Neurospora crassa OR74A: one gene and its partners. The protein of the gene in region 3 purifies or fractionates together with the protein of the main gene of each other region. This does not show direct contact. Links are inferred from orthologs where the notes say so. Each region holds a gene or a part of one and is shown on either strand. Other genes may lie near its edges. The genes, in order: NCU00493, NCU08811, NCU07319, NCU04404 and NCU01992.

Region 1 (4,107 bases), on a different chromosome or scaffold from region 3:
TGCTCGACGCCGCCTGCCGCCTCTGCTTGCTCATCGTTGGTATTATGCTGAGCCTCGAGGTCATCGACAGCAAATTCAACATCCGCTGTGGCGGGTTGGGCATCAAGATCGATCGCCTGGTACTCATCTTCCTTGTCATGTAGGTCGTCGAGTTCTAAGACAAGCTCGTCGGCTGGCATGCCGGCATCTAGCATCAAGTCATCGTCAAATACCGCCTTCCCCGCCTCGGCACGAACGTCGAAGCTAACTTGCTCCATGATGATTGGCGGTTGGCGGGTCAATCAAAACACGCGCCACAGACGAGTGAGTTGGATCAAGAACGAAAATTTGGAAAATGACGCAAAACTTCCACGAAGTTTCTAAGAAGGTGCGACGTATTGCCGTTGTCAAGAAATTGTACGTCCAGCAAGCGTCATGAAAGAAGCGAAGACGTAGAAAATTGGTGCACTGGTCAAAACCCCAAGCTTGGCGATGGGTTTCGGTGGATGTCTTGGACTGAAAGGCTGTGACTTCTTCTTGGAAGCGAAGCCGTAGGGCATATAGAGACCACGGGTTCTGGAGTTATGGCTGAGAATGGGCAACCCCGCACTCGACAAAGAACGCCCGACAAACAACGGCGCTTCTGGGGCGCAAAATGAAACGGTGAAGGGATGTGAGGCGACACGTGGACTGGCGGAATCCGACAACACGATTTAACCGCTGTTAAGAGTTCTGGGGCGGATGTTCTGGGCAAAAGTGCACATCGAATCGAGGTATGGAATGCTGAAACGCGGCAGGCAGATAATCGGGATGCCTCACTTTCACGGAGCGGCGGAGCTGGGAGGTGGGTGAAGTGCAACGGAGTCGAGTAAGCTCTTGATGACGAGGCGTGTCACAAAGGTAGCGTAGGTATTTGATGATCCGTAATCGAGACTCGTATTGGCTGGGCAATGCTTTGACGCGATTGAGAAACAAGTTTCTCGATGGCGGATGGTTTTTCGAGGTAGGCGATGGTTTGGATGGAAATGGAAATCGTGAAATTTCGACACACGGGGCCGTCTGTTGTGCGTGTTGAAGAAAGAGGTGCAGTTGTTGGTTTTGCCGCAGTGTGTGGACAACGGTGAAATTCGCAGAATTGATCATAGGAAGGAAACTGAACCTAAGCAAGTGCCGCATGGAGTTTAGCGGGCCCTGTGGGTGCCTAGAGGTACCTACCTACTGTACTTGTATCTATGGTGTGCCCCTGGATTTCTTTTGCCAGCTGGCAGCCCCTCGTCGGCCGGCCAGGACGCTGCCACCGTGTACGCAGTAGGTTGCCCTGGCCCGCCTGAACCCGACTGCCCTGACGCTGCAGTGAAGCTGCCGTCCAGGTACCTCTACCTATCGCTGCCCGCTGGGTCCCTCCAGATGGCACCTTCAGTTCAATTGGACCTGACCGACAGCACACCTCAGCACGGCAACGGAAAGACCACATCAACCTTCCCGTCCACGACAACTTTCAGGAGGTGAAGCTCACGACTTACCTCCAACGCATCCCAAAGCTCCCTGCACTACCACGAAGCGCCCTTCGAGTCAGTAGTCGTGGTTGTTGTTTACTGCTGTCAAAATGGTAACTCATCCATCCCTGTCTCCTGGTGGGAAGAAGCGATTGACGGAACATGTCAGGTTGTCCTCGCTGCCTCCATCTGCACCCGCGGCGGCAAGGCCGTCTTAGCCCGCGCCTTCAACGACATCAAGCGCTCCCGCATCGAAGCTCTCCTCGCCTCGTTCCCCAAGGCCGCCGACTCGGGTACTCAGCACACCATTGTCGAGCAAGACAATGTCCGATTCGTCTACCAGCCCCTGGACGAGCTGTACATGGTCCTCATCACCAACAAGCAGTCCAACATCCTTCAGGACATCGACTCGCTCCACCTTTTTGCCCAGGTTGTCACCAGCACCTGCAAGAGCCTTGACGAGCGCGAAATCCTCCGAAATGCCTACGAACTGCTCAGCGCCTTCGATGAGCTGGTGACTCTCGGTTACCGGGAGAACCTCACCATCAGCCAGATCAAGACCTTCCTCGAGATGGAAAGCCACGAGGAGCGCATTCAGGAAATCATTGCCCGCAACAAGGAGCTGGAGGCCACCGAAGAGCGCAAGAGGAAAGCCAAGCAGTTGGAGATGCAGCGCAAGGAGTCGGCCAGAACTGGTCGGTCCGCGGTACCCCGGACGCCGGTATATCCCACATACACCCCGCCGGTGCGACCTGCTGTCACCGAGTCCTATGATACGTACGAAGCCGAGAAGAACAAGGTCAAGTATGTGTTAGTCCCTCTTCTTTTCAGGCTGGCCTGCAAGCTCACATTCTTCTAGGTTCAATGCGCCAAAGGGCAAAGGTATGCAGTTGGGCAAGAAGTCCAAGAATACGGATATTTTCGAGCGCGTGAAGGGGGATCTTGGACACGAGGCCGAGGAAGCGCCCCTTGTTCCGGTAGCCGCGCCGGCAGCTGCCGCAGAGCCTGCTGCTTCCAGAGTCTCTTCGACACTCGACAGGGATGCTATTCACGTCCTTATCAACGAGGCAATCAGTGCCAAGCTGTCGAGAGATGGTGCCCTCGAATCCCTCTCGGTCAGCGGTGACCTCCAGCTTCGCGTCTCCGACCCATCGCTTTCAAGGATCAAGCTCAACCTCAGCGCCACACCCACCCACGGCGCCCAGTTCCGCACTCACCCGAACGTCGATAAGAATGTCTTCAATAGCTCCCAGGCTATCCAGTTGTCTCAAATCACAAAGGGTTTCCCCCTTAACAACTCTGTCGGAGTTCTAAGGTGGCGGGCCAGTCCCAGAGTCGACGACACCAGCGCACTACCAATCAGCTTCACCGTTTGGGTCAACAAGGGCTCGGATGGCAACAGCACATTGACGGTCGAGTACGAGCTCACTGGCGGAGATACCCTCAAGGACGTTACTGTCGTCATCCCCTACACGAGCGCAGAGCCTCAGGTGTCTAGCTTCGACGCTGTGTATGAGGTGTCTGGTGACAGTCTAGAGTGGTCGATAGGCACCGTAAGCGAGGAGAACGCCAGCGGATCATTCGAGTTTGAGGCGCAGACCGATGACGAGAACGAGTTCTTCCCGATGCAAGTACGGTTCTCCAAGTCGTGGCCGTTCGTGGAGGTTGATGTAAGATGTCGCCCCCTCATGTCAGAAAAACGGGTAAAGACGGAACAACTGACACATTCTAGGTTCAATCTGTTGAGCTGGTGGATGAAGGTGAAGAGGTTTCGTTTTCCAAGGACATCAGATCGGTGGCCGACAAGTTCCTCATTGAGTAGGGTTTGTTGTCATTGTTTTGAGCAGAACCAAAAAAGGGCGACCGTAGCATGCCGGCCAGGCGTCTCGATCATCATCTTCCACACCAGAATTAGAGTAATGTATGGGAAGCAACCGAGTTGTCCAACTCCCTTTATAATGAATACTGTTGTACATGGTCCGCGCCAGTGGGTGCTCGAGCTGTCATTCCTTTTCTTCCGTTGATACCCAAGGTCATACTTGACTTTTTGAACAAGAGGTTTTTGACGCTCCCGGGATCCTTGAAAGTAACATGTAAGCTACGAGCCCTACGCATTTTTAAGGGGATGGATACCCTCATGATCCAGTACCATATAGAAAGAAGCCTATCTACGCAAAGAGCTATCCAACTCAATCATCGCTGTTGTAAGCACAGAGTATGGTAATTGATGTCGATGTGTGTAGTTCGCTAGGTAAGCTTGTAAAGGTCATACCTACACAGTACGGATGCCCCTGCACAGTATTTCTATTACTGTGGCAACTGCTCTATCTGCACTGTGTTTTGAATCAACAGGCAGGACGAGACCACACGACTGAATCGCAGAACAGCAGCAACAACAACAACAACATCACGCCGAGGCAAGTGAAGCTGTAGGTCTAGCAAACCAAAACCGAAATCCCCCAAACATACAAACCGACTTGCCAAGTTATGGACTTGCGCGTGTCATTCAAATCAAAATCTTGCGTCCCGGAGTTGAAGGCTGGAACCACTTAGCCGCTGCTTTCCACGTCCAAATAACATCATCCAACTGAAAGTCACCAACGGATCCTACAAAATGTCCCCAAATGGGCAG
Region 2 (4,124 bases), about 780 kb from region 3:
TGCAACAATGACCAGCAGCCTTGAACAATATTCATACAAGCGAATGGAAGCCTTTCAGTTCCACTTGACACCCAAGAACTTGAACTCCTTGTTGCCACCCTTCTTAGCAGCCGCCACTTCTGCCTCCTTATTCTCCAAGTAAATTCTCTGATGTCCCCTCACATCCACGTAAAAGGTCTGGTACTCATGCTCCCAGTGACCTGGTTGCTTGGTCAGATGCAGCCCGACGACACCAGAACCTCTTGGTCCTTCGACCTGTTTTTCTTGGTGTTAGCCCCATCATCACAACAAATTTTTAACAAAACAGGGGAAAGAAAAAGAAGAAGAAGAAGTAAAACGAACATGGAAATGCATCTTTAGATGCTCCACACCCCTATTATCCTTCTCGACCGTTGCCGCGATCGGCCGCGCCCGGCGCCACTTGTTGTGTGTCTCTTCGCCGTGAGCAGCAATCTTCTTTGGGTCGCCGGGCGAAAGAAGGGCGACGCAGCGAGGGTCGGCACGGATCCGGTCAACGGCTCGGTTGAAGTAGGCGGTTTTGGACTCTGGGGAGAACACGTCGGTGAAGAGTAGGTAGGCAATTCCTCCCTGTGTGGTAGAGTTAGTACTACACACAACACACCGGAGTGAGCGATGAATTGGGAAGAAGAAAGCGTACGGTCAAAACCACACCCAAAATCACCAGACCAAAGTTGAACGTTTGCTGGACGGCGCGCCCGGCTTTTTCACCGGTGGAGAGCCGAGTCCAGGGCACATGGCCATCATCATTGAAGGGCGTTACGGATCTCCTCTTGGAACTTTCTTGCGTAGTCGCATATTGCCGGCGCGATGAGACGAGAATGACGCTAGCTGCTGTCGGAGGAAGAGCTCTCGAAGCTGCTGTGGTAATGGTTGCTTGTTGACGGACCACGGCGGGGCTCAGAAGAAGCCTCACACCCGCCGAAGTACCTGTGAGCATTTTCATCATGGAGGCTTCAACACAACACCCATATTTCAACGGCAATGTTTCAGCCGTTTGCGATTGTTATGAGAGCTTCAATGAGAATGAGAGGTCCGAACGAAGCTGTGATGAGCTGCGGTTGGATGAAGCTTTGGAACCGTTTGCCGGCACGGCATCTTTCCCGGCAGAGGAGGTCCGTCCGGCGAGGGGTGGAGTCGGGTTCGTGTTGCGCTCCACTAGGTAGAGACGGGACTGTGTGCCAAGGCGCCAAGATGCCACATGGAAGGGCGAACCTCCATGAGCAAGTGGAAGCGTCTGATTCTTGGCTGGGGAACACAAAGAAATGTGGCCCAACGTTCCAGTGGACGTTCCAATACCATACAGGTACGTAGGTAGGTTGCCAGGCAGCCCGGCTCTCTCCGCTGGGGCTCCCCCCCCGTCTCCTGAATTAACTGCGAGCGAATGACAACACTTGAAAGATTGACAACTTGTAACAAGCCCGAAAACCTACAGCGCCGCCTTGTTTGACTTCTCTCCCTCTTCTGCCCCCTTTTTCACCTTCCCCCCCCTGACGGCAGCACCGACCTACCGACCCTGACAACCTAACCGAGCAAAGGGGTCATCAACAACGACAGTCGAGATCTAGTGACACATCACAACCCTGGCAAAGGACAGACATACCTAATCCGAACCATCACCGGACTGCCGACCGACAAGATGAGCGGTCTCGCGACAAAGCAGCAGTCGCTCAAGCTTTTTGAGAAGCTCAAGGCGAAGCCAGCCAACAAGGTATGTGCCCACGCGAGCAGCGATCGACCCTAGACATCCAGAAAGCTAACTGCTGCCTCCCTTCCCGCGAACAACAGATCTGCTTCGACTGCGGCCAAAAGAACCCAACATGGACCTCGGTCCCCTTTGGCATCTACCTCTGCCTCGATTGCTCGGCCAACCACCGCAACCTCGGCGTTCACATTTCCTTTGTGCGGTCTACTAACCTCGACCGTATGTGCCCTCTCGATCTTTACTCCACGACGCGACACCTCGCCCGCTAACGCGAACCTTGTTCTTGTACAGAATGGCAATGGGACCAGCTACGGATCATGAAGGTGGGCGGCAATGAGTCGGCAACCAAGTTCTTTCAGCAAAACGGTGGTTCCGCCGCCTTGAACAGCAAGGACCCCAAGACCAAGTACCAATCTGCTGCCGCGACCAAGTACAAGGAGGAGCTCAAGAAGAGGGCTGCTAGGGACGCCCGCGAGTATGCAATGCCCCTACCCCTCATTTACACAAACCTGTTTTATTCCACGTTACATGAAATGCAATGCTGACGCGCTGTTTACCTCCCACCCAGATACCCCGAAGAAGTTGTCATCACCGACGGTGACGATGCCACAAGCAGCAACACCCCGGCCGGCGAGCCCGACGACGACTTCTTTTCCTCGTGGGACAAGCCCGCCATCAAGAAGCCCACGCCACCCATTTCCCGCACTTCCACACCCCCCGTCATCGGCCGCACCGCCTCCCCGCTCCTCGGCAACGGCAAGGACATCCAGCGCACTTCCTCGCCGCTCTCCAAGACCGATTCCGATGCTCCCACTCCCGCCCCCGCCGCCAGCCGCATCACCACCTCCGCGGCCCTAAGGAAAACCACCCCCGGCAGCAGCACCACCGGCGGCCCGCGCAAGGTGGGCGGCGGCATCCTAGGCGCCAAGAAGCCCGCGGCTAAGCTGGGCGTCAAGAAGATTTCGGCGGACCTGATCGATTTCGACGAGGCGGAGAAGAAGGCCAAGGAGGAGGCGGAGCGCATCGAGAAGCTGGGTTACGATCCCGAGGCGGAGGAGGAGAAGGCGGCGAAGAAGGCCGAGACCAAGACCAATAATATCATCACCCCTGCTGCGGCGCCAGTCAGCTCCTCCAGTTCGCGGTCGGCGGCGCAGGAGAAGTCGGCTGCTGAGGTGGAGAGGCTAGGTATGGGTGTCAGGAAGCTGGGTTTCGGTATGGTGGGCAAGCCCGGTGGTGCTGGTGCTGCGGCGGGCGCGGGAGGAGCGGCGGCGGCGAAGAAGAATGCGGGTGGGTTTGGAAGTGTTGGGCCTATTAAGGCTAGTGAGGGTATGTTTTTTTTTTCCCTCCTTTCCCTTTCTTTTTTTTTCTTTTTCTTACGCAATACTAACCAACATCGATACGAAACAGCCGACGAAGAACAATACGCCCGCAACAAGTTCGCCAACCAAAAGGCCATCTCTTCGGACGAGTTTTTCAACAAGGGCAACTACGACCCCTCGGTCAAGGCCGAGACCAAGGCCCGTCTACAAGGCTTCGAGGGTGCCCAGGCCATCTCTTCCAATGCCTACTTTGGTCGTCCCGAGGACGACGCGCCCGCCGAAGACTACGGCGACCTCGAGTCTGCCGCCAAGGACTTCATTCGCAAGTTTGGCATCACTGCCAGCGATGATCTGGAGAACCTTACGCAGATGGTGGGTGAGGGTGCCGGGAGGTTGCAGGGTGCTATCAGGGCTTATCTTGGGAGCTGAGCGGTGGAAATGGAAGAATGAGGCAGCAGTGTGGGTGGGCAGCTGGACGTGATGGGCGAAGGGAATTACCTAGTTATGAGACAGAAAGATGTGGACGAGCGGGTAAGGCTTCCTTTTAGTAAAAATTAGTATTTGTAGTGTAATGGTGAATGAATGTTTTATGGTAGAGAGCACTAGTAGTCTGGGCAGATGATGCGGGTTTCTGATATCTAACGAAGAGGATGACGGCCAGGATCTGGATGAGCTGTTCTCACATCCGTGGCGTAGGGGGATCTTGGTAAGTGACCACGGGAAGTATTCAAGCAACAAGAAAGAGATATGATGGTGTTCTATAGCGTACGGTTTTTCGATTACGGTGGCAGTCGAGGTTGACAGGGAGAGATCGTGATGTTGATCAGGGTTTCAGCGAGATTTTTGCTAATAACTGACTCGCGCAACCATAATAGAAGCTACTGATATAGGGCCTACCTTCAGCGTAATTCTATCAATAACAACAGCTGGTCCGATGGTGTAGTTGGTTATCACGTCAGTCTAACACACTGAAGGTCCCCAGATCGAGCCTGGGTCGGATCATGAACCAAACTTTCTTTTTTTGCGATTGTTTTTGTTTTTTTATTGACCTAATGTTCTCGGCCCCCTTTTTTTTTTTTTTT
Region 3 (3,936 bases):
AGGTAACATTAAGGTCCTTATCGGTGATGTAGACGCGGCCATCACGCTGGAGGTAACCCAAGATGTACATGGGCTTGTCGAAGTGGGCGATGGTGTAAGTCTGGTCGCCAACCAAGTAGTTTAGACGGTTGGTGCTGTTGGTGTAGATCAGGACATCTCCCAACCACTCCGCCGAACGGATACTCTCGCTGATGTCGGTAACGACATCAAACGCAGCCTCAACACCATCATCCTCGACAAGACCAGCCTGGACCGCTTCGTTATAGTTCTCTCTCGAGAACCTGAGGACGTAGGTGCTATCTTCGCAGGCAAGAGCAACCAGCTCGCCGCTCTCGCTCCAGTACACCTGCTTTGGCTCCACCTCAATGCGTCTGACAAGTCCACCCGTCCGCCAGTCGTAGAAGGAAATGCCACCTTGGCCCTTGACACCGAGGAGGACACCGCCGGTAAGACCGTCGGCAGCAAATGGGACGTCGAGACCGCCGACCTTGTTCTCGAAGTTCTTGAAGATCTTGACGCTGGTGGGAGACTCACGAATGGCGAACTCGTTTGTGCTGGAATACTCCTTGGAAGCCCACACAAAGTCGAGGGCTTGACCGAATGCCTTGTTTCTCCAGGCGAGCGCAGTGTAAACGATGTATTCGCCGTCGCCGCAAATAGCAGCGAACCGACCATTGGGAGAGTGGATGAGACTTTGGGGGTACACCTCGGCGGTTCCAAGCTCCTTGGTGGTGAGTGTGATAGGTTCGTTGTCCTTGATATCGGCATCTGATCCCTGTTAGCTCGGAGTCACTCTCGATGTTCCGTTTTGTAACTCACCAGCACCCTTGATCACGGCAGATACAACCTCATTGTGCCTGGCCCACACGATCTTGCCGGAGCCATCCATCGACACAGCGGGCTCTTCCCGACCAAGCTTGATGACCACCGAACCATCATCGAAACCAACAGCAATACCCTGCTTGCCCTTCTGATATGACACACACCATGCTCGCTCCAGGCCGTAGTTTAGCGATTGCTCGAACCTGTAGGTGTTGGCGTTCCATATCCTTATCGTGCCCTGCGGTTACGGTTAGTAATAGCCTGCGAGCGAGTGGACAGGTGCAATATCGACGTACGTCTTCCGAACCAGAGATAATAATAGGGAGCTCTGGGTGGTAGCAGGCAAAGGATACGTTGTTGGTGTGGCCTTCAAGAGTGGCGATCAAACTCTTGGTGGTATAGTCCCACACTTTCACCGTGCGCTGTGCCAGTAAAGTCAGCTGTGAAGTCCTATGCGCCAGCAGATGTCAATATAACTCACGTCATCAGAAGTTGTGAGAAGATAGGGTTTGTCGCTGTGGGGATAGTAATCGACGTGGTTGACGCCCTTGGTCTCGTGCGCCTCAAGCTGGAAGTTTGGTGTGGATGAACCCAAGCTCCAGATCTTGACTGTCCTGTCCAAACATGCCGAAGCAAAGGTGTTGGTATCTTTGGGGTTGATGGCGAGGGACATGACGTAGTCTGAAGCTCTGTTAGCACGCGCGCTCTGCTTCGATGTATCAGGCTGGTGGCGCCATACGTGAGTTGCCCTCGAATACCCGCACGTTCTTCCATCCCTTCTCCCAATCCCAAAGCTTGATCGTCATGTCATCACTGGCGGTAAGGACGAAGGGTTGTGTAGGATGGACGCAAATGGCTCTGATGTAGTCGGGATGCGCCTCGAAGGATGTGATCTTTTCGCTCGTGTTGTAGTTGTAGACTCGAATTTGGCTGGGATTCCAGGTCAGCCTTCCTGTCTAGCTCTAGCCCAAGTTCCATGTCGAACATACAAGTCATCGGAACCACAGATGATCCAGTTCTTTCGCGCAATGAAGCGACCAGCGCGGACGGGGACATCGGTAAGCTCGAAGGTCTTGACGATTTGTTGTGTCTCGTATGACCAGATATAGACGTGGCCGCTGTAGAGGGTCGCTAATCACCAAAGTAGTGTCAGAATTCAGGGCCCCTCCCATCGTATCGCGAGTCGAATCAGACGTACTCAGAATCCATGGCTCGGTAGGATGGAAGTCGATGCCCTTGACTCGCTATGTGCGGGATATGGGTGAGCAATGGGAACCTTGAATGTTGAAAGACTGCTTGGTACCGGAGAAATCAGGGGGTCAAGAGGACAGGTAACGAACCTCAGAGCGGGCAAACAACTGGCGCTGCATGTTGACAGGCATGTTAGCAGGTGTTTTCTAATGAGAGATGGCCCAGTTGGAGGCAGCGATGTGATGATGGACGTGTCGGCGCAATGGAGCTGGCCGTCGAGGTGCCGGTACAGCAGACGGAATAGGGGCAACTGGAAGATCCCAGGCCGAAGCTAAGGGAGGTGCAAGTGTGCGCCAGGTTGCAGAATCGGGTTGTTCTGTTGGGTCTCGGTGACACGGCCATGGTGGTGCAGACACGAAGCCTGTGCGAACTTGCCTTGACATCCAGCCTCATGTTGGGCGAGTTTGGGGTGGGTGTGTGGTGTGTGGTGTGTGGTGTTTACAAGTTGGAATTAGAGGACGGGGCGGTCGTAACGGTTCTCGAGCTTCCAAGCTTCAGGTGGGGTGCGTGCTGGATGCTGGAGATGGTCCCTGACCGTGCAAGAAAGCCGCCGTCGGGTTCGTCAGGGGTGAAGCTATCGGAAGTGGTGCAATCGTGGTTATATGTATTTGGTGTATTGGATATCTGGTCCGCCGAAGGGGGGGGGACGTGGTTGGCGGTACGAGGATTCGGAATAGAGGCTTCGGAGGCCTTGACACTTGATTGCGACGGGCCGGAAATGACAGCGGACGGTTGTAGAGGTGCCCGCCACGTATCTCGACCGGCCGCCGCCCACAATTTCGCGGCTGTGGTCTGCTCGCCGCTCGGGCCACTCTCTCCCTCAGGCGGTCAAGTGGGCACAGCTGCCGGCCACTGTCACTTCCTGCGCTCGCCAGCTGCTGCCTAAGGCAACGACCAACACTACAGCTTTGCGGATCTCTTGGCGCCCCCCTCACCGTCGGTGCATTCAGTGTTTGAAGCCATCACCATCGCCAAACCACGTCCAAAGTCGACCACTGGAGATCGTCAAAAACCAAAAGGCTTGGACCAACGCAACGGTCACTTTGTGAACGACTCAATTCCCAATCACATTTTGGAGGAGTGTCACACACGAGCAAATTTGCAAGATACGAGTATTTCAAAACCAAAAGGTCTCAGCGACGCAACAGGAGGCGCGACCGATGACGGTCAGTCGTCAAGTCGGTACTCCCATCCATTTTCATCGTTACTTAAAAACATTATCAGCAATCACCAAATATGGGCTCAAAGAAAAAGCTCGAAGCAGTGATCAAGTTCGACGCACTTTGCATACGACAACGTTACTGGAACATGGAGAAGAATTGAGTGTGAGTACTTCTTATTGACTTGAACTATATCTATCATTGCAAAGCGCTTCTAGTGATTGCGCAGAGACAATAATGAAGAAGAAAAAAGGGAAACCCAAAACCTCCAGGATGTCAATATGATCCCGGCTAAACGCCATTGATCCCAGTTGTATAATGCTCCGCGTTGATATCCCAGAAAGCAACCAAATGAACGCCATATTCTCCGGATTCCGAGGGTCCACGACACCGTTGCCCTATTCCCTATCCGTAAAGTCTTCGCTCATTTATCATAAGACATGAAGTAAGAATGGATACAAAACACACAAGTTGACAGAAATGCTCCATCTAGTCGTCGTGCAAGTCGGCCTGTACGCGCTGTACAACCTCGACCACCTTGGGGAACAGCTTCTCCTGCTCGTTCAAGCCGCAGACCTGCTTGACAACGTCCTCGGGCTTGTTGCTCGCCATGATCTTAGCAAGTTCGGCCGACTCCTCGTCGCCCTCGACGTTCTGGAAGCGGAACGCCATCTCAGCAGCATCGAGCAGAGCGCTGCAGTCC
Region 4 (4,296 bases), about 910 kb from region 3:
GACGGTAAGGTTCTGGAGGGTCTCAGTTGTTTGGTTGACGAGTAGTACGTCTAGTACAATGTCGAACTGGTGGACCTTGACATAGGCCTCAGCATAAACAGGGTCGGAGAAACCGGTGAGCTGGACAACGCGGCTAAGCTTGCCAGATAGGTCCTCAGCCGAGCTGTTGTCTCCACCAGTGGCACGCTCGAGATCGGCATCGAAAGCATCAGCCCCATCAGTGGCATTCTTCTTGGAAAGCTGGCGGATTTGATAAACATCGTCCACCTGGGTGGCCGTCTTTGCCTTTTGGTGGGCCTCTTTTGCTGCGCGCTTCTTCTCCTCAACCTGGACCATCGCCCTGAACGCCTTCCTGGTATCCTCGAGATAAACGGTCTCCAACTCCTTGTGCGCGGTGAACTCGGCAAGGGAGCGCACACAGCTCATGATACGATCCACCGAATCTTCATCAATAGGGGCCTTGACGAACTGCGACTGACCAACACGAATGACGGAGATCATGATGAGCATAGCCTCAGCGCGGAGGGCGTTCGTGCGAGCCTCTTCCGAGGAGATCTCGGCATGACGCATGACAAGCTTGGTAAGGGTCGATGCGAGAACAGTGGCAAGGTAGTAATCGCCGTCAAGGATAAGTTGCCTGAGAGGGGGCTTCGACGAAGCCTTGACAGCCTCCAGGCGTGCAGCAGCTGTAGACTGGCTGGTAAGGGCAGTCTCGGTAGCGTATGTGCCGTCAGCAAGGACCTTGCGTGAGCCAGTCGGCGCTGCCCTTGAGCCATTGACCTGCTCCTTCTCCTTCTCCTCGGCATCACCATCAACATTATCCAGCAACCGTTGCTCGGATGCCAAGATCGGGATCTCACCCAGGCTTGCCCGAATTCTCTTCCATGCGTCCCTGATATCCTTCTCCTCAAGCGAGTACTCGCCGATAATCCAGAGAATACCGCGGTAGATCTTACCAGCGCGGACTTCACTCAGGGTATCTACCAGTCTCGCAATGATTGCTGGCCTGAGCTGAGGGAACTTCTCGACGACCTCCTTGACAAAGTTAATAACATCAACGGCGGAGTTGTTGTTGAAATCGGCAATAAAGTCCATGAGCAAGCCGACGACGCTAGCGGCGACTTCGGAGAACTTGATAGCGCATTGATGGATGGAGTGGATAAGAAGCTGGCGGTACTCGTTGTTCTTCTCGTACTCCTGGTCAACCGTCTTGGACAGCTCCTTCTTGAGCAAAAGCACGACTTCCTCCACGTTCTTGCTGGAGACCATCTCCAAAGCGATCTCGAGACCCTTCCTCCGCACATCGATATCCGTGCTAGAGAGAACGCGCAACACCTCCATGGTCAGGTCGTCCAGGACGCCGGGGTTCTTTTGGCGGAGTTGATCGACACGGTCCAGAACGATAAGCTTGACATTGTTATCCGCCTCCTTGATCGCAAGCTCAATGAACTTGCTGGCAGCAGCCTTGACAGCGACAGGGTTGTTGGTGAGGGCCGTCAACGACGAGGCCGCTTCGTAGATAACGGTCGAGGCACTAGCTTCCAAAAGGTCAAAAATAAGACGGAGGTAGCGCGCCTTGTTCTGGGTGTTGACAACAGCATCTTTCCTGATGAACTCCAACTCGGCCAACTGCAAAAGCTCATCTGCGTTGGGAATACCGTCAAAGACGGTGCTGAGATAGAGAAGAGCCTTGTCGTGGTCGATGCTGGCAAGGGCGGCGAAGCCATTCCGCTTGCAGGTTGGGTCGCTTTCGCCTTCGAGGAACGTGGAGATCAAGTCCGCAGCATCGGGAATAAGCGACGGGGAGTGCTGGTAAATGGAAGCGACAGCAAAGACGGCGTTCTTTCGGACATAGGCATGGCGATGTTCGAGACAGCCCCGGGCTGAGGAGAGCAAAGGCTCGAGAAGTTCGGCCTCCCGCAGCTTGCACAGGAAGCGCAGCGTGTTGCCTCGGATGTACTCGTTCGGGTGTTGCAAGTCGTTTCGGATGCCGTTACTGCGAGGCAATGGCTGGTCAGCTTGGAGGGGCCAGCATGCCCAGACGGACACGGAATGCCTTACCATACTAGGATGAACTCCTGCTTGAGCTTCCCTTGGGCATCAAGCTTGGGGCAGATCTCATAGTAGAAGTATAGAAGCTTCTTCAGGGGCTTGGATTTAGAAGGCATTACGAATCGGATAATGTGCATGAGCAATTGGGGCATGGGATCGCCATTGAGCATGATGGTAAGAATGCGCTTCATGGTCTCGATCTTGGTCTCGTCGGTGCCCTTTTCGAGCTGCGTCTTGAGCTCCTGCACGGTTGGGGTGCCGTCGACGGCATTGTCCTTGACCAAGCTGTAGGCATTTTCGAGGAACGACATGTTGGAGAGCTGGCGGCGGCCGGGCCGTCTTTGATTAAAGTTGAGATTGAATTTGGTAGAAAGTAGCTGGCCGGGCGTCCTGAAGAGGAGTCGCGGATCGAAATTAGAGAGGGGCGGGTGTGGTAAGGTGTTGTTTGCCCCGTTGTAGGTTGCGTGGTGCTAGTAAATGGATGGACTGAGTGGCTGCCTCGAGCTCCTGAAGAGTGACGATGAGCTGGCCTTGGTGCTGGATGTGGTTTCCTCCCCCTGGACTGACAGGGTCGTGGTTGGCCGAAAATCAAGAGACGGCTGCGCAATGAAAGGGTTGTCTGGAGTGCGCCGGCGAGGTGAGAGAGCGGAGCATCACCTGTGCTTGTTGTTGAAGTCTGGAAGAGCCAGCGTGGATAGGACGGTCAATTCTATCGAGAGACGGCCCCTGGGAGATGTGGCATTCTGGCCGGCCGCAACAGCACACGGCGAAGCACGGACCCCCCGACACCCTTACGGCCTCACCAAGCCTCCATCTCCTGGCCGAGTCTGCCATCTGCCAGCTTGTCCAAACAGTCGAAGGATCACGTGTAGATACGGATTGCCAGCTGTCAGGAAGGCTCGTGAACCCGGAGTCAGCTTGGAGCCCAAACAATGCCCCTGGGCCAAGCTGGGGTCAAGTGTGGGGCCGTGTGCCCCGCCAATGTCACTGGAGCGTGGCCGCGCGGGCGCGACTTTCAAGGTTGTCCATCCAAAAGCGACAGGAACCAAGCCGCTGGCTGCATCTCTGCCTCTTGTCTTGCAAAGCCTACTACTGACAGAAGCAACAAACAGCCATGTCAGCCGCCAACGAACCCTTCTATCTGCGCTACTAGTATGTACACCCCTACGGGATTCGATTCACTCACACATTGAAAACACCATGCTAACAGCCGGCTTAGCTCTGGCCACTCGGGCCGCTTCGGCCACGAGTTCCTAGGTGTGTTCAGCCATTTGCGCCTCGAGACGCAAGCTCCCACGTTTCCACGACCACGATGCTAAACTACCGCCCTTTGACTACAGAGTTCGACTTTCGCGTCCTCGGCGACGGACGTAGCGCCACTGCCCGATATGCCAACAACTCCAACTACCGTAACGACAGTCTGATCAGGAAAGAGAGTAGGAAACACTGTTTAGCCGGCCGTGGACATCCATATACTGACGAGGGTCTCTTTTAGTGTGCGTCAGCTCTCTGGTCATTGACGAGATCAAGCGCATCATCAAGGACAGCGAGATTATGAAGTACGACATCATGTTCACCCTTTTATACAAACAACATGGAGCGGCTGCTGACAGGCCAACAGGGAAGACGACGAGAAATGGCCGACCAAAAACAAAGACGGAAAGCAGGAGTTGGAGATCCGCCTCGGGAACGACCACATTTCATTCGAGGTGCGTCTTGCCAGTGTCGGAATCTATTTCTGCAAAATGTTCAGAGCTAATACAGGAAATAGACTGCCAAGATCGGATCGATCAACGATGTTACGGACTCGGCCGACCCAGAAGGCTTGCGCGTCTTCTACTACCTCGTTCAGGACCTCAAGGCGCTGGTGTTCAGTCTCATTGCCTTGCACTTCAAGATCAAGCCCATTTAATCTTCCGACACGAACGAATACCCCGAGTTTGATATATCCTTACTCATGGAAAGGAGAGATTTTGTGGGATAATGCGGCGTTTTATAAAGGCGTTCTTTTCTATCTATTGGCGGCGCAGATGGGTTTCTTGAAACTGGATTTAACATGGATAACTTCGGGACTGGCACAATCGTATACATTATCGACCAATCGCCCCACTGGCCCCCGAACCTAAGAGTCGTCATGGCTGTTTGTGTCAGCTATTGATGATGACCAACCAAGCAGTGTGAGGCAAGATATCCGATGCAGTTGCCAGGCGGAGACCGAGTGATGGAACACCGACATCTCATTAC
Region 5 (3,987 bases), on a different chromosome or scaffold from region 3:
ACGCCTTGCTTACTAAACCTTATCTGGCCGCTACTGACACGTCTGGTACAGGGCTGATGCTATTTTGCCTCCGTCCTTTGATCTCGTTGTGCTGGGCAAAAAAGAGAAAGAAGCTGTGAAGGCATGCGGCAAAAATCCCGACCGCAAGGAAGACGACGTCCGGAACGGGTTTCCCATCAATACTGATTATCACGCGCAAGAGCCGATGCAGGAGCAAGCAAGCGCCGCCGAAGCGGAGGACCAAGCGCAGGTGCAGGGCGAGGAACAACCGGACATGCAACTCGAAACACAGGCGGAGGTACAGACTGAGGCGCAACCCGAGGCCTCGGCAGTGGTCTCAGATGAGGTGCCTGTCGATGCAGAAGCGATAGAAGCTGCTTCCACATCATAGGGTCCATTTGTGTATCCGATCGCTGATGCTACGCAGGTGAGGGCCGTAGCAGGAGAGTGATATAAGAAGCTGTGCCTAAGAGTACGCCCCAAAAGAGAGCAAGCAAACATACTAGAAAACAAATCATGCTTTTATGAGCCAAAGCAAGGCTATATGTCCTTTTGGAGGAAGACGAAAAGGAAGAGATGGGTACAATGGATGCTCGGACCAACTGTATCCTTAAGTACAGGCTGGGACTACCGTTGAGGAGAACCAATTGACAGCAAGAAGGGCTCACGATAATGCAATTTGAGTAAAGTAGTCAGTATCAAGCTGTCATTCAAGCCGAAAGGGAAGGCGGCCACCTAGACCGAGTGTGGGATGTAAAGCTTGGCACTGAACAGGTCCAAGTAAAGTATCAATAGTTATCATGGTGATTACTACGTACTAGCAATCTTGGTTCTATTTTTCCTTCAGAAGCACAAGTGAGGTGACCTGGCAGGTTGAACAATGTCAAGTTTGTCTTCCAGGAACAACATCCCGTGTGATTATATTGAAAATAATTAAACTCGATGATCTACTCAGGAGGCGGGAGGGAAGCATCTATGTAGAGGTAACTAGGTATGTACATATTGGAAGGGTGGTCTGTGCGCTGTAACACCCGCTCCTTGAGGTTGACGATGCACATGGAGAAGCTTGCTCCTGCCGGGAGGCTTTCAGCCTCTAACTGGCGAGACTGGCAGCGTGGCCCGGGAGCACGGACTCCCTGACACCTCAGTGGACTCCCCCTCGACTGTGCAGTGGAATTGGCAACGTCGCGGGTTTGGGGATACCCGCTTGCTGGCCGCACCGTCGCACAGGCAACACGCTACTCCGTTATTTCGTACCTCTATTGTTCTAGCCTCGACTTACTTGCCTCAACAACAACAACTTGGGTTTCCCAAATCCACATCACACCTCCAGCACCCATCGTCGCCCTGCCCGCCATGAATTACGGCAAAAAGGACGAGGATGCTGAGACGGGTCTGGTCAAGGTCGACCGGACCCAGGTCTTCCAGGAGGGTGAGTCCGAGTACCTTGGCAGCTGAGGCATTGTTCGTCGGGTGGACGTGGCCCTTATACTCTCCTAACCTCCTCAAGACTGACCGGTTCGACATACAGCCCGCCTCTTCAACAACTCCCCCATTCAGCCGCGCAAATGTCGTATCCTCCTCACCAAGATTGCTCTCCTCCTCTACACCGGCGAAAGATTCCCGACAAACGAAGCCACGACGCTGTTTTTTGGTATTTCGAAGCTCTTCCAGAACAAAGATGCCAGCCTACGACAGATGGTCCACCTTGTCATCAAGGAGCTGGCCAACTCGGCCGAGGATATTATTATGGTTACCAGCACCATTATGAAGGATACTGGCGGTAGTACCGATGCCATCTACCGCCCGAATGCCATCCGCGCCCTTTGCCGCATCATCGATGTAAGCCTCCCCCTTCCTCGACCCCTTAATGGTTATCCGATGTGGAGCTAACCCCGACCTTGTGCAGGCCACCACAGTACAGTCCATCGAGCGTGTCATGAAGACGGCCATTGTCGACAGAAACCCCTCAGTATCCTCTGCCGCCCTCGTATCGTCATATCACCTTCTCCCCGTCGCCAAGGACGTCGTCAAACGGTGGCAGAATGAGACCTCGGAAGCGGCAGCTAACACCAAGTCTACCGGCGGTTTCTCCCTCGGTTTCGGATCTTCCAACAGAGATCTGCCCATCAACAGCTCGACTATGACCCAATACCATGCCATTGGCTTGCTTTATCAGATGCGCATGCACGACAGGATGGCGTTGGTGAAGATGGTCCAGCAGTTCGGTGCTCCCGGTGCCGTCAAGAACCCCGCTGCTCTCATGTTGCTCGTCCGTCTTGCCGCCCAGCTGGCCGACGAAGACCCACACCTTAGGAAGCCCATGATGCAGCTGCTGGATGGCTGGCTCAGGCACAAGAGCGAAATGGTCAACTTCGAGGCCGCAAAGGCGATTTGCGATATGCGGGATGTCACCGACGCTGAGGTCACCCAGGCAGTCCATGTCCTCCAACTTTTCCTTACCTCGCCCCGCGCTGTCACCAAGTTCGCCGCTCTTCGCATTCTCCACAACTTCGCTTCGTTCAAGCCGGCGGCCGTTGCTGTATGCAACCCGGACATTGAGCTCCTCATCTCCAACAGCAACCGCTCCATCGCTACTTTTGCCATTACTACCCTACTCAAGACCGGAAACGAGGCCAGCGTGGATCGTCTGATGAAGCAAATTTCTGGCTTCATGTCTGAAATCACCGATGAGTTCAAGATTACGATTGTCGAAGCCATCCGTACTCTATGCCTCAAGTTTCCCAGCAAGCAGGCCGGCATGCTCCAGTTCCTCAGTGGTATTTTGCGCGATGAGGGTGGCTATGAGTTTAAGCGCGCCGTGGTGGAGAGCATGTTCGATCTTATCAAGTTCGTCCCCGAATCTAAGGAGGAGGCTCTCGCTCACCTGTGCGAGTTTATTGAGGACTGCGAGTTCACCAAGTTGGCAGTCCGTGTCCTTCACCTCCTCGGTCTTGAGGGACCCAAGACATCCCAGCCTACCAAGTACATCCGATACATCTACAACCGGGTGGTTCTCGAGAACTCCATTGTGCGCGCCGCAGCGGTCACTGCCCTTGCCAAATTTGGTGTCGGCCAGAAAGATCCTGAAGTCAAGCGCAGCGTAGAGGTTCTCCTCACCAGGTGTCTGGATGATGTTGATGACGAGGTTCGCGATCGTGCTGCTCTCAACCTCAAGCTTATGAAGGAAGAGGATGAGCTTGCGAACAGGTTTGTCAAGAATGGTAAGTTCTCGTCTACTTTATGTTACGTTTGCCGGATGCGATCACATACTGACATGTCAACAGACAGCATGTTCTCGTTGCCCTTTTTCGAGCATCAGCTCGTCACGTATGTTACTTCTGATGACAGGTCGACATTCGAGGCGCCTTTCGACATCTCCAAGATCCCTGTTGTTACCCGCGAACAAGCAGATGCCGAGGATAGGACCAAGAAGCTTACTGCTACGACACCTTCACTCAAGCCACCCAAGGTCGGACCAACCAAGGCGGCTCCCACCAGCGCCGAGGCAGCCGCATCTGCCTCGGCAGCTGCGCAAAAATATGCGCAGGAGTTGATGCAGATTCCCGAGATGGCAGAATTTGGCGCCGTTCTCAAGTCGTCGCCGGTGGTAGAGTTGACCGAGGCGGAGACCGAATACGTCGTTGGAGTTGTCAAGCATATTTTCAAGGAGCATATTGTGCTCCAGTACGAGGTCAAGAACACCCTTCCCGACACCGTATTAGAGAACGTCTCTGTCGTAGCTACTCCCGCGGAAGAAGAGCTTGAAGAATTATTCATTATTCAGGCTGAGAAGCTCGAGACCGACGTTCCTGGAAAGGTATATGTGGCATTCAGAAAGGTCAGCGGTGAGGGTTCGCTACCAGTTAGCACCTTCTCCAACGTCCTCAAGTTCACCAGCAAGGAGATTGATCCCAGCACCGGTGAGCCTGAAGAAACCGGCTACGATGACGAGTACGAGGTTGCCGAGTTTGACCTGGCGGGAAG

The links.
Region 1: the proteins of NCU07319 (region 3) and NCU00493 purify together in Saccharomyces cerevisiae (affinity purification with mass spectrometry; 6 studies listed by BioGRID). This does not show direct contact. The link is inferred for Neurospora crassa OR74A from reciprocal best matches to the Saccharomyces cerevisiae genes SEC27 and RET2.
Region 2: the proteins of NCU07319 (region 3) and NCU08811 purify together in Saccharomyces cerevisiae (affinity purification with mass spectrometry; 4 studies listed by BioGRID, with this or other methods). This does not show direct contact. The link is inferred for Neurospora crassa OR74A from reciprocal best matches to the Saccharomyces cerevisiae genes SEC27 and GLO3.
Region 4: the proteins of NCU07319 (region 3) and NCU04404 purify together in Saccharomyces cerevisiae (affinity purification with mass spectrometry; 6 studies listed by BioGRID). This does not show direct contact. The link is inferred for Neurospora crassa OR74A from reciprocal best matches to the Saccharomyces cerevisiae genes SEC27 and SEC26.
Region 5: the proteins of NCU07319 (region 3) and NCU01992 purify together in Saccharomyces cerevisiae (affinity purification with mass spectrometry; 6 studies listed by BioGRID). This does not show direct contact. The link is inferred for Neurospora crassa OR74A from reciprocal best matches to the Saccharomyces cerevisiae genes SEC27 and SEC21.

What each region holds. Positions count from the first base shown.
Region 1 is NC_026503.1:4,047,419-4,051,525, forward strand, and holds NCU00493 (coatomer subunit delta), read left to right. Parts: upstream 1-1,305; 5' UTR 1,306-1,585; coding exon 1,586-1,588; intron 1,589-1,644; coding exon 1,645-2,279; intron 2,280-2,334; coding exon 2,335-3,145; intron 3,146-3,207; coding exon 3,208-3,297; 3' UTR 3,298-3,657; downstream 3,658-4,107. Other genes in the region: NCU00492 (hypothetical protein), read right to left, coding at 1-257; NCU00494 (hypothetical protein), read left to right, coding at 4,090-4,107. UniProt on the Saccharomyces cerevisiae protein: The coatomer is a cytosolic protein complex that binds to dilysine motifs and reversibly associates with Golgi non-clathrin-coated vesicles, which further mediate biosynthetic protein transport from the ER, via the Golgi up to the trans Golgi network.
Region 2 is NC_026504.1:5,157,949-5,162,072, reverse strand, and holds NCU08811 (arf GTPase-activating protein), read left to right. Parts: upstream 1-1,321; 5' UTR 1,322-1,657; coding exon 1,658-1,729; intron 1,730-1,806; coding exon 1,807-1,942; intron 1,943-2,014; coding exon 2,015-2,198; intron 2,199-2,291; coding exon 2,292-3,049; intron 3,050-3,130; coding exon 3,131-3,471; 3' UTR 3,472-3,796; downstream 3,797-4,124. Other genes in the region: NCU08810 (mitochondrial import inner membrane translocase subunit tim-21), read right to left, coding at 55-255, 343-588, 659-967. UniProt on the Saccharomyces cerevisiae protein: GTPase-activating protein for the ADP ribosylation factor (ARF) family. Involved in retrograde vesicular transport from the Golgi to the endoplasmic reticulum.
Region 3 is NC_026504.1:4,379,347-4,383,282, forward strand, and holds the start of NCU07319 (coatomer beta' subunit), read right to left. Parts: upstream 2,804-3,936; 5' UTR 2,467-2,803; coding exon 2,449-2,466; intron 2,187-2,448; coding exon 2,163-2,186; intron 2,067-2,162; coding exon 2,021-2,066; intron 1,954-2,020; coding exon 1,812-1,953; intron 1,753-1,811; coding exon 1,562-1,752; intron 1,504-1,561; coding exon 1,304-1,503; intron 1,245-1,303; coding exon 1,119-1,244; intron 1,061-1,118; coding exon 820-1,060; intron 769-819; coding exon 1-768. Other genes in the region: NCU07318 (mannitol-1-phosphate 5-dehydrogenase), read right to left, coding at 3,723-3,936. UniProt on the Saccharomyces cerevisiae protein: The coatomer is a cytosolic protein complex that binds to dilysine motifs and reversibly associates with Golgi non-clathrin-coated vesicles, which further mediate biosynthetic protein transport from the ER, via the Golgi up to the trans Golgi network.
Region 4 is NC_026504.1:3,471,260-3,475,555, reverse strand, and holds the start of NCU04404 (coatomer beta subunit), read right to left. Parts: upstream 2,802-4,296; 5' UTR 2,364-2,801; coding exon 2,062-2,363; intron 1,997-2,061; coding exon 1-1,996. Other genes in the region: NCU04405 (mago nashi protein), read left to right, coding at 3,167-3,204, 3,272-3,309, 3,393-3,488, 3,548-3,611, 3,674-3,761, 3,824-3,964. UniProt on the Saccharomyces cerevisiae protein: The coatomer is a cytosolic protein complex that binds to dilysine motifs and reversibly associates with Golgi non-clathrin-coated vesicles, which further mediate biosynthetic protein transport from the ER, via the Golgi up to the trans Golgi network.
Region 5 is NC_026501.1:1,752,647-1,756,633, reverse strand, and holds the start of NCU01992 (coatomer subunit gamma), read left to right. Parts: upstream 1-1,184; 5' UTR 1,185-1,356; coding exon 1,357-1,432; intron 1,433-1,531; coding exon 1,532-1,842; intron 1,843-1,909; coding exon 1,910-3,224; intron 3,225-3,287; coding exon 3,288-3,987. Other genes in the region: NCU01991 (hypothetical protein), read left to right, coding at 52-391. UniProt on the Saccharomyces cerevisiae protein: The coatomer is a cytosolic protein complex that binds to dilysine motifs and reversibly associates with Golgi non-clathrin-coated vesicles, which further mediate biosynthetic protein transport from the ER, via the Golgi up to the trans Golgi network.